2 linked regions of the Mus musculus genome follow. The protein of the gene in region 1 purifies or fractionates together with the protein of each later gene. This does not show direct contact. Links are inferred from orthologs where the notes say so. Each region holds a gene or a part of one and is shown on either strand. Other genes may lie near its edges.

Region 1 (5,376 bases):
AAAGAAAGAAAGAAAGAAAGAAAGAAAGAAAGAAGGAAAGAAAGATCCATAAGGTGGGTCATACCTAAAATCTCAGAATTTCGCAGGCTGACGCATGAGGTTGCTTAGAGCTTGAGGCAAGCCTAGACTACATCATGAGCTCCAGGTCAGCCTACACAATAGTATGTGACTGTCTCAAACACAGTAACAAAACAAAAAACACATGATACAGTAAATCAAGCCCACATAAATGGATGAGTGTATTAATAATAATTAATAAATAATTGTTAAGGTTTAAGTCTTACTGCTAATAAGAAAAAGTCTATTTAAATCAATTCAAGACTACTATCACATATTAAAACCATTTTAAATAATTTTAAAACTATAAACCCTCACACTTTCTTTTGCATTAAATATTAGTACAAACTTCTGGAGAGTGATGTTCAATATGTGACAAAAGCTTGAAAACTCAAGAGCTACTTTGACCTTATTCATAAATCCATGAGACTTTTGGAGAAGGCAACAGAAAAAGAGCCCCTCCCCTAATTATGCAAAAATATTAGTGAAAAGGTAAAAATATTAGTGAAAAGGTTAAAATATTAGTGAAAAGGTAAAAAAAAAAATTAGTGAAAAGGTAAAGGTCATTGCTCAAATGACCAATTGGAAATTAAGACAAATCATAATACTTAAAACACAACTAATTCTTTTTCTTACCATTACCATGATGGATATTCAAAGAACAATAGTCATACAAAAGTACTGTCAGAAAAATATAAAGCAAAGGATGGATGCTGATAATAACTGTGTAAAGATTTGCCTTTACTGTTTAAGAAAAATGACTAGAAAACCACCTTTTAAAGTGTGTGGTAAGGAGACCATTTTTAATTACTCAATTTTCTATCAAGTTCATTTTTAAGTTTCCTTTTCTCATTTGCTTAAAAATGATCTACCTGCCTATCCATATATAAGCTGGAAAAGGAAAAAAGTACACAAAATCATTTCTCATACACCCAGATATTAAAACTATGTTCAAACAGCTATCAGTAGTTTGATACTAAAACATGTATTAGTGAATACTTCGAATTTACCTTCTGTGATACAAGTAGGATTTATGTCTAACAACAACAGAAAGAAGAAAAACAAAACTTCAGGCTGAAAATTAAAAGTAGTAACAGGTATTCAAAAATAATTTGTACCCATCTGAGAAATTATTACCATTAATAATACTGGTGGTGGCATTCACTCTTATTACAATTAAACCATTTTTGGATTTGCAAGATATTAGGGAAAACTCAGTAGCTTCTGTAATAATGTGGCTTCACTCTTATAATACTCAAAGTTTTCAAAATTAACATCACAGCAATTTAACTGTTTTCTACTGACAAGCAAACTTTCAATTATTTTCTTTTTATTTAGTCTGCCTTAGTCTACTACTCTTCCAACTTTGTGTCCACTTTGTATGCTTTTCCTCATTTGGATCTTATTTGGAGGAAAGAGAGTTCAATTTAGGTTTTATTATCACTCCTTTCATCATACAACTCTGTAGCTAAGAGTAGAATCTCTTTCCCCACATATAAAAGATCATCTTTTTGTCTCAGTGCAGAGCAGAAAGTGCACTTACATTGCAAATTATATTTATGGAAAAAACAAGAGTCAATTCAAGACTTAACTAAAGTATATTCTCTTTTTTAAAAATGTCCATTGTCTCCTAATCCCAAAATCCTGTTCACCTATTCCCAAAAAGGTCATAATACATATTTCTTCTTTAGTGAAAACATATTTGCACAAATGCAGTTTACTGATGAATTAATTAGCTATTTTTTAAGATTAGAAATATATAACAATGTTTTTATTCAGTAACCCATTATCTAAAGATGAACAATCTTGGAATTCACTCAGTAGTCCTCAGTATTTTTATTTATGTAGTTTTTCTCACTTATGAGTCAGTTCCCCTTCTGAATTCCTTCTCCCCTCCACTCTAAAAAGAAAAAAAAAGAAAGAAAGAAAAAGGAGAAAGAGAGAGAGAGAGAGAGAGAGAGAGAGAGAGAGAGAGAGAGAGAGCTAGAAAAAAAAAAAAACACCCAAGCCTGGCCTCAGTTCCCGTATTTCAAGCCAGGACCAACCAGAAACCAGTTTTCTTCCACTAATCCGGAACTCCGGGCTGTTACCAACGCTGTCATTGGCCAGCGTCAGTCCTTGGTACGTGCCCCAAGATAACCCCCTGGTTTCTGTCCCTTATCCCCCTACAATGGGCCTTCTCCGCTGTTTGTAACACAGTCCTAAAGCACAACACAGCACCTCTGAAAACCAACTCACATTCTTCAAAGTTTTGGGGTGAAAATAAGCAAGGCTAGAGCAGGGCAAGGTACCCTTTCCGACACGCTGGGAGGGGGAAGGGGCAGTCCTTCGAACACCGAACAGCAGGCTCGGGGAGCTCTAAGGGCTGAAGGGCCAGGGGCGGTTGGGGGCACAAGGTGGGGAGGGAGTGGAAAAAGAGTTGGGCTAAGTTGAAACGAAAAGTTTACTAACCAGATCCTCGAAGCTTCTTCGGTGCTCTTTCCCTTCCCAGTCTAAGCGGCGCGGAATCAGCTGGGGGCCGGAGGAAAAGAAAAGGGGGGGGGGTGAAGGAAAAGCCTCTGCTCCCCAGCAGCAGCACCCAGCCTGGAGCCTAATCCTAGACCCTTTAACATTTTCATTTCTCCAGTCCCGACAGCTACTGCCGCTGTGCCGGGGGTTGGGGGTGGGGGGGGGCAGGCCAAAGGGAAGGAAATCCTGAAAAAACACCTCCCGCAGGAATAAAAGGCAGCGAGTTTAGACCCCTGCGTTGTCCGCCCCTTCTAAGCAAAGAACCCGATTTACCCCAAGTGACAACAGCCCCAAGTGTCCAGCTCGAAGGCTCCCTCCGGGCCCCTGCCCTCGGCCCCTGACCTACCTTACCCTTCCTCCAGGTTCTCCCCAGCCCTCCCCACCTCTTCCCAAAAGGGGTCCATACCTGATGCTCTTCGAGCTCTTGCACTAGCACCTGGGGAAGAGGGACACAGGGATGTGAAAGCAGATTGGGGCGCCAACCCATTCCTCCCTCCCCACTTCCAACACAGCCGCTGACTGTAGGAGTAATCGCGGCCGGCCTTTCCCTCACCCTCCAACTGCACTGCTCACCCAGTGCCTCAATTTCCCCAATGGGACCATTCCCCAACACTCCCAGATATCCTTTCCCTCTCACCTGAGCGGATTTGTTACAGGGTCCGGACTGCAAGAACCTTGCGATCAGGTAATACAGCTCTAAAGAAGGGGTTGGGGGTGGGGGGAGACGTTGAGAGAGAGGCAAGGAAAAGAGATACAAGCTTTTTAAAAAAAATCTGACAGCAGTCGCGCAAAGCCCCCATCCCTTTTGCCCCCGGCTCAGCTACCCACCGGCTTCGATCTGGGTAGGTGCCGCCGCCATCCTTTTCCCGAGGGGGTTTGGGGGCTTCGCTCAGGAGGGCTGGCGGGGGCGGGTGGGGGCGCTGCCTCTATTGTGGTGAAGCCCCCATGCTTGGGAGTCCCGCCGCTTCCGCCGCACTCTTCGTCCCAGTTTCGGTCTCTCTCGGATTCATCGCATCACGTTTCGACCCATAGATATTCTAGCCCAAGAGCTGAGGAGGCGGAGGAGGAAGGAGAGCAAGAGAGAAGGAGAGGGAGGAGCTGAAGTCGCCGAGGGGTGGGCGGGGGGAGAGGGGTGGGCGGGGGGAAAGGGGTGGAGCCATAGAAAGAAGGAGGGGGGAAAAGGGAAGGGAGCCGCTTGCAAAGCTCCAGGCTGGCCGCCAGAGGCACTAAGGCGGCCGCCTAGTTCCAGCAGCTAAGCCGGCCTGGGGTTGCCTAGTTACTGCCCAGAGAACAAGGAAGAGGTTCTAAATGCAGGCAGACGCTCTGGCAATCTTCGTCAAACTCTGTGGTGGCGTTGGCGTCCTAGAGCTCCGGAGTTGCTTACCCTTCCTGTAAGGGCAATCGGACCCTTTCCGGTGAGGGAACCTCTCTCCAGACATGATCAAGAGAAACTGGCGAGGGACTGACATGATCTAGCTTACCTTGGGTCACCGAACGGATTTGGTTTGTTTGTTCTTTCTCTACCCCAAGAAAAAGTCGCTAGCTACTGCAAGGTTTTGTTTTCAAACAAGGAACAGCATGCCAAAAGAAAGTGCTGCGCCTACCTGATGAGCAAGGGAATAATATTCTTCTAGAAAACTTCTTGTAGTAGTATCAAGTCTCCCCTTGATTCTGATAAACATTGCGCGCGAAGTTTACACTTTAAGGAGGAGGCCGTTTCCCCCTTCTGAAAAGGTCAACAAGCTCTTTCTTCTCAATTCCTGTAGGATAAGTTGGAACGCTGTTTTGAAATTCTGCCAAAACGTTTTTAAAGTTCTTAACTATTCATTGAAATTTGGATAGAAATGATAGTTTGGTTTGGTTTGTCTTTGAAGTGATATTCTCTGACTTGCTGTCACTATGTATCTATCCAAGGCTCCCCTGGAATTCCATGTCAATCTTCCTGCCTCAGCTTCCCTAGTGCTCATGTGGCAGGCATGTGTCGCCACTCCGGTTGACAAAAAGTCTTTTTTCCACTACCTTGAGACTACAATTGTTTTCATGTATAACTTTAACTCTTAGCACAGCGCTGATTTGATCAAAGGATTTGTATAATAATTGACAGTTTGAGGAAACTGGTTCACTTCCCCAATTTCTCTTAGCATCCCGTTCTCAGGATGTTACTTTGAACAGAATTCATAGAAACAAAACATGATGGGAAAACAAGTACTATTTGAATTGTGTACATTATTTGCTTTGAAATACTCAAATTTGAAGGTTCACATTAATGTATGGCTATAGTGGGAGTTTGGTTTTCAGACTCAGGGAGCTCGGTGATTAAACCACATTGGGCATAGAATTAAATTTAATTCAATTCATAAACTTAACATATCCTTAGCAATTCATTCTGCCAATTTCTTTTATTGAGTAATTAATAACAACATAAGAGTAAAATGCTATGGTTATCTTTGGTATAATCAGTATCTGAAAGAAGTAGATAAAAGAAATATAAAACCTCAGGACAAAATTGTGAGGTGCTTACTGAAATAGTAATTTTTATAGTTCAAGATAATATAATTAACAGCTAACCTTTACCAAGTCATTACTACATATTTTGCCTGCTGTAACTCATTTAATCCTTAACAGTGACCTAGGAGACAGTTTATATTTTTCTCTACCATACTAATATTAAAAATTACTACTAGCCAGGTGTGGTGGCACACGCCTTTAATCCCAGCACTAGGGAGGCAGAGGCAGGCAGATTTCTGAGTTCAAGGCCAGCCTGGTCTACAGAGTGAGTTCCAGGACAGCCAGAGCTACACAGAGAAACCC
Region 2 (4,604 bases), about 70 Mb from region 1:
GTATGGTTGATAGAGATTTTACTGGTGAGAAACTTGTTTTCTAATGAGGTCCATTTCAGGTGCATAGTGAGTCTTGGCACTACTGAGATTCTTGTTTTTATAGGCCACATACTCCAATCCCTAAAAATGTAGGTAGCAAGGGTGACAGTTTCCTTTTTAAATGAGATTTATGGTTAGGTTTTAAGTGTAGAGTACTGTATTTGTGAAACTAGCAGAGTTTGGCGAAACATCTTTTGGGTTTCTGCAATCCTTCCCGAAGGTAAGGTCTGAAAACGAAAACTGCTGTGTATATACACCGAAGTAGTGACTATCACTAGTCTAAAGGTAGAAACCGTTAACTGCGTCTTTCGTCACTACAATGGGCTCTTAAGTACTGACCTGCAGATATTAGAAAATGTGTGTATCCTGGTGTTTGAGATTACTGCTTAGGAGTTTGATGAACATAGAAAGTCAGGGTTTAAAATGTATTTTGACTTAACTTTTTATCTGTTGAATGTGTTTCTGTTTTCCTGGTTTATTTTTTTCACCCTCCTCAGCTTGTGCAGGTAACTAGATGCTAGAACTGTATTCAAGATGGGGAAGTGAATGAATGAACTTAAGGCCTTGGTGGCTAAGTATTAGCTTGTGATTGAAATGTTGGTGTGAAAAAGAGCACTGTGCTACTTGTCTGAAGCAGGGGGTTATATATAGTATTGTTTATTTTTAACCCTTTCCATCCTCATGCTCTCAAGAGTCTTAAATTCTTTCTGATTTATTAGTAGAGCTTTCTAAAGTGAATATGAACTGTATTTATAGATTTATTCATTCATTGTTTCATTTAAAGAAAACCAAAGTAATAGGGAAGGTTTTTTTTTTTTTTTTTTAAGAAATGAGCTGTGATTCTAATTTCATTTGCAAATTGATTTCTCCTGAAGGCATTAGGGCGTTTGAAATCTTTAATTTGTTTAACTTATCACAGATGAATGAAGTTTAAAGTCTACATTAAATTTCTTTCTATTCTGAAAATGCTGCATAGGTTCTGGAGTCATTTAGGTGTTACTTCGGTTTTGTTTTGTTTGACATTTGATTTTGTTCCTTTAAAATGAAGAAATGTTGTGATTCTGTGACTGCTGCATACATTAGGGAGTCAATCAGACCTGAATCGGAATCCCAGCTTTGCCATTGACTAGTTATGGTGACCTTGGGCGAGCTTAGCAAATGAGTTCCAGGCTCACTTTCTTCAGCTGTAAAGTTGGGGTTGCTAAGATTCCCTGCGAATGTGTTATTGTTGAGACAATTTCTATAAAGTTTCTGAAATACTTTTCATATAGTGTGTACTCAGTATTTTAAATCTTCCCTACAAGATTCATGTCAGCTTCTGTTTTACACGTGATAAAACAAGATCAGAACTGCTATTTTTATCTGTCATTCTCAAATTTTTATATTTGAAGCAGTAACAATCAATAGGAGAAAAAAATACCTTCAATTTTCATAGGTGAATCAAAATAACAGTATTTTGGCATCTTAAATTTTGTTTATATTGAACTTTTAAATATCACAGTTACCTTAATGTTGAGGTATTAAAAGGATCCTAAAATAGCAGTACTGTTCTATTTTATAGTTCTTTGGTTACTATATCCTTAATATTTTTCTAATTTTGTTTGCATATTATTTAGATAAGCCTAAATTACCAGAAAACTATACGGATGAGACATGGCAAAAGCTAAAAGAAGCAGTGGAAGCCATTCAGAATAGTACTTCAATTAAGTACAATTTAGAAGAACTCTACCAGGTATGTATTAGTATGTAAAACCACACTTTACCAACATAAGCTAAGATGGAATGCATTTGTATTTTCCTTTTTTTAAAGATTTATTTTGTATGTGCATGTGCTAGAGTGTGTGTGTGTGTGTGTGTGTTTGTGTGTGTGTGTGCATGCGCACACAAAACATGTGTGCCCTTGGAGACCAGGGCTTAGGTTCCTTCTAAGCTGGAGCTATAGGCAGTTGTGAGCTGTCTGACATGGGTGCTGGGAATCAGATTTGGAAAGAGTTCTCTTAACTGTCCCCTGTATTTTAACGTCCTGAAGTACATTCTTTAGTAGAGTTTTGATCACTTACTAGTTAAATGGTGCCTTCTTTTTTTATGATCATAACACACAGTATTACTTCAGCTGGGGATCCATAATTGGACAGTTCTGATAAGGCTTTATTAATATTTTGGTATAGTAGAGGTATGACCCAGACTGGGCTGTTATAGCATAGATTAGCTATTCTTTTTCTGTGGGTTGTCATTTCTGTTGCGGTAGCTCTTGTTTAGTTCTCTTACCTACATATAGGAAAGGCCTCAAGACCTGCAGCTCTTTACATTCCTGCATCCTTTCTTCTGCCTTAGTTTTTTAAAAAATTATGTTTACTTGTCCTGTGTGTATATGTGTGGGCAAGCCATGTGTGGAGGTCAGAGGACAATTTATGGGAATCAGTTCTTTCTTTCCACCTTATGGGTTCCAGGGATTGAACACAAGTTATTAGGCTTGATGGTAAGTGCCTTTACCTGCTGACCATCTCCCTCTTGTAAATAATTTTTAAAAATTGCATGTGTGGTTATGAAAGAGAGGGGAGAGAAGAAAGACTCTGTGTGTGTGTGTGTGTGTGTGTGTGTGTGTATTATAGCACACATGTGGAAGTCAGAGGACAGCTTGCAGAAATTGGCCTCTTTTTTCACCATGTATGTTGTGCGCAGGATCAGACTCAGGTTGTCATGTTTGGTGCTAAGCACCTTTTACTAATCCGTTAGTCTTCTCGTTGGCCCTGCCTCATTCTTTTTTTTTTTTCTCTCAAGACTTGGTTTCTCTGTGTAGTCATGGCTCTCCTGCAACTTACTCTGTAGACTAGGCTGTGTGTGCCACCAAAGTGCTGGGATTAAAGATGTGCACCACCACCACCCTGTACCTGACTTTTTTTTTTTAATTTAAAAGCATCTGTACAAAGGAAGCTTTTTTTTTTAAAGATTTATTTATTTAGTTTATGTATGTGAGTACACTGTTGCTGTCTTCAGACACACCAGAAGAGGGCATCAGATCTCACTACAGATGGTTGTGAGCCACCATGTGGTTGCTGGGAATTGAACTCACGATCTCTGGAAGAGCAGTGAGTGCTCTGAACCATGGAGACATCTCTCCAGCCTGACTCTTTGAGACAGGGTTTTTCTGTGTAGCTCTGGCTGTCCTGGAACTCAACTTTGTAGACCAGGCTGGCCTTGAACTCAGAAATCTGCCTGCCTCTGCCTCCTAAGTGCTGGGAATAAAGGTGTGCGCCACCATGCCCAGCTCTGACTCATTTTTTTTGAACGCACTAAAGCTTTATTACAAAAGGAGTTAACTGCTAGAGATGGCCCTCCAGTCTTTCTCTGTGTCCTCTTCCTTCCCAAGATACACTTCCAGGGGAGGTCAAGGGTCCATTGTAGAAGGGGTGTCTAGGAAAGTGAAATATGGTAGTATTTTTTCCAAAGTTCCTCCAGATCCTTCTAGGTGCTGTTGACCATCTTCTGGTAGAAGAGGTAGGGACTTCAGCTCTTATTTTCAAGATCCTCCATAGCTATGGCTGACTAGTCCTGGTTGACTTGGAGGGGGCTTTCACTTACATGGCTGCTTTTTCTCTGACTCATTTTTAATAGTAGTTTTGCACTTTTTGTCTTGAGCTTCTTCTGTCTCCTGGTCTACAGGATGCACCTTATTCCAGAAATGAGCAATAGCTTGTAGCCCAACACCTTAGTCTGAAATTCATGTTTGTTTTTCCTGAATTAAAAGTGTTTTGTTGCCTGGCAGTGGCGGCACATGCCTTTATTCCCAGCACTTGGGAGGCAGAGGCAGGTGGATTTCTGAGTTCGAGGCCAGCCTGGTCTACAGAGCGAGTTCCAGGACAGCCAGGGCTACACAGAGAAACCCTGTCTCGAAAAACCAAAAATGTGGAATAGGAGTTAGAGGACACATTTGGGGGACACATTTGGGATTTAATTTTGACTATTGCTGCTATTCTTTTTTTTTAAGATTTATTTATTGTAATGTAAGAATGTAAGTACTCTGTAGTTGTCTTCAGACACACCAGAAGAGGACATCAGATCTCATTACGGATGGTTGTGAGCAACCATGTGGTTGCTGGGATTTGAACTGAGGACCTTTGGAAGAGTAGTCAGTGTTCATAACCATGGAGCCATCTCTCCAGCCCCATATTGCTGCTATTCTAATCTTTGGCAAACAATAAACACTGTCAGCTTTCGTTTCCTCCTCTATAAAACAGGCAAACTAGTGCCTGCCTTTCTTCCTTGCTAGGTGGCTAATAAAGAATGCAATAAGATGTTTGTAAAACAAAACAAACACCTTAATGAAGCACTACGATACATAAATTAAGCTGATGTTAGCATTAGTCACACTTTTTACAAACTATAGTGTAGCTCTTTTTATCTGTAATACATAAGATAGAGATCCCTGGTTTCTTTCTTTTTGCTGTGGAAATGAAGTGAGTCAGTGTAGGCAGCACACAGCTGTGTTCAGGTGCTGCTGCAGTAGACATGTCAGCTGGGAGTGATCCGAAGCTGTTACTTGGGGCTCAGTCTACCTCATTTGG

What was found. Proteins that work in one complex are often made in the same cells at the same time.
Region 2: the proteins of Brwd3 (region 1) and Cul4b purify together in Homo sapiens (affinity purification with mass spectrometry; 3 studies listed by BioGRID and IntAct, with this or other methods). This does not show direct contact. The link is inferred for Mus musculus from reciprocal best matches to the Homo sapiens genes BRWD3 and CUL4B.

What each region holds. Positions count from the first base shown.
Region 1 is NC_000086.7:108,830,706-108,836,081, forward strand, and holds the start of Brwd3 (bromodomain and WD repeat-containing protein 3), read right to left. Parts: upstream 3,642-5,376; 5' UTR 3,425-3,641; coding exon 3,394-3,424; intron 3,262-3,393; coding exon 3,203-3,261; intron 3,002-3,202; coding exon 2,972-3,001; intron 2,569-2,971; coding exon 2,509-2,568; intron 1-2,508. UniProt on the Homo sapiens protein: Plays a role in the regulation of cell morphology and cytoskeletal organization. Required in the control of cell shape.
Region 2 is NC_000086.7:38,558,776-38,563,379, reverse strand, and holds part of Cul4b (cullin-4B), read left to right. Parts: intron 1-1,655; coding exon 1,656-1,771; intron 1,772-4,604.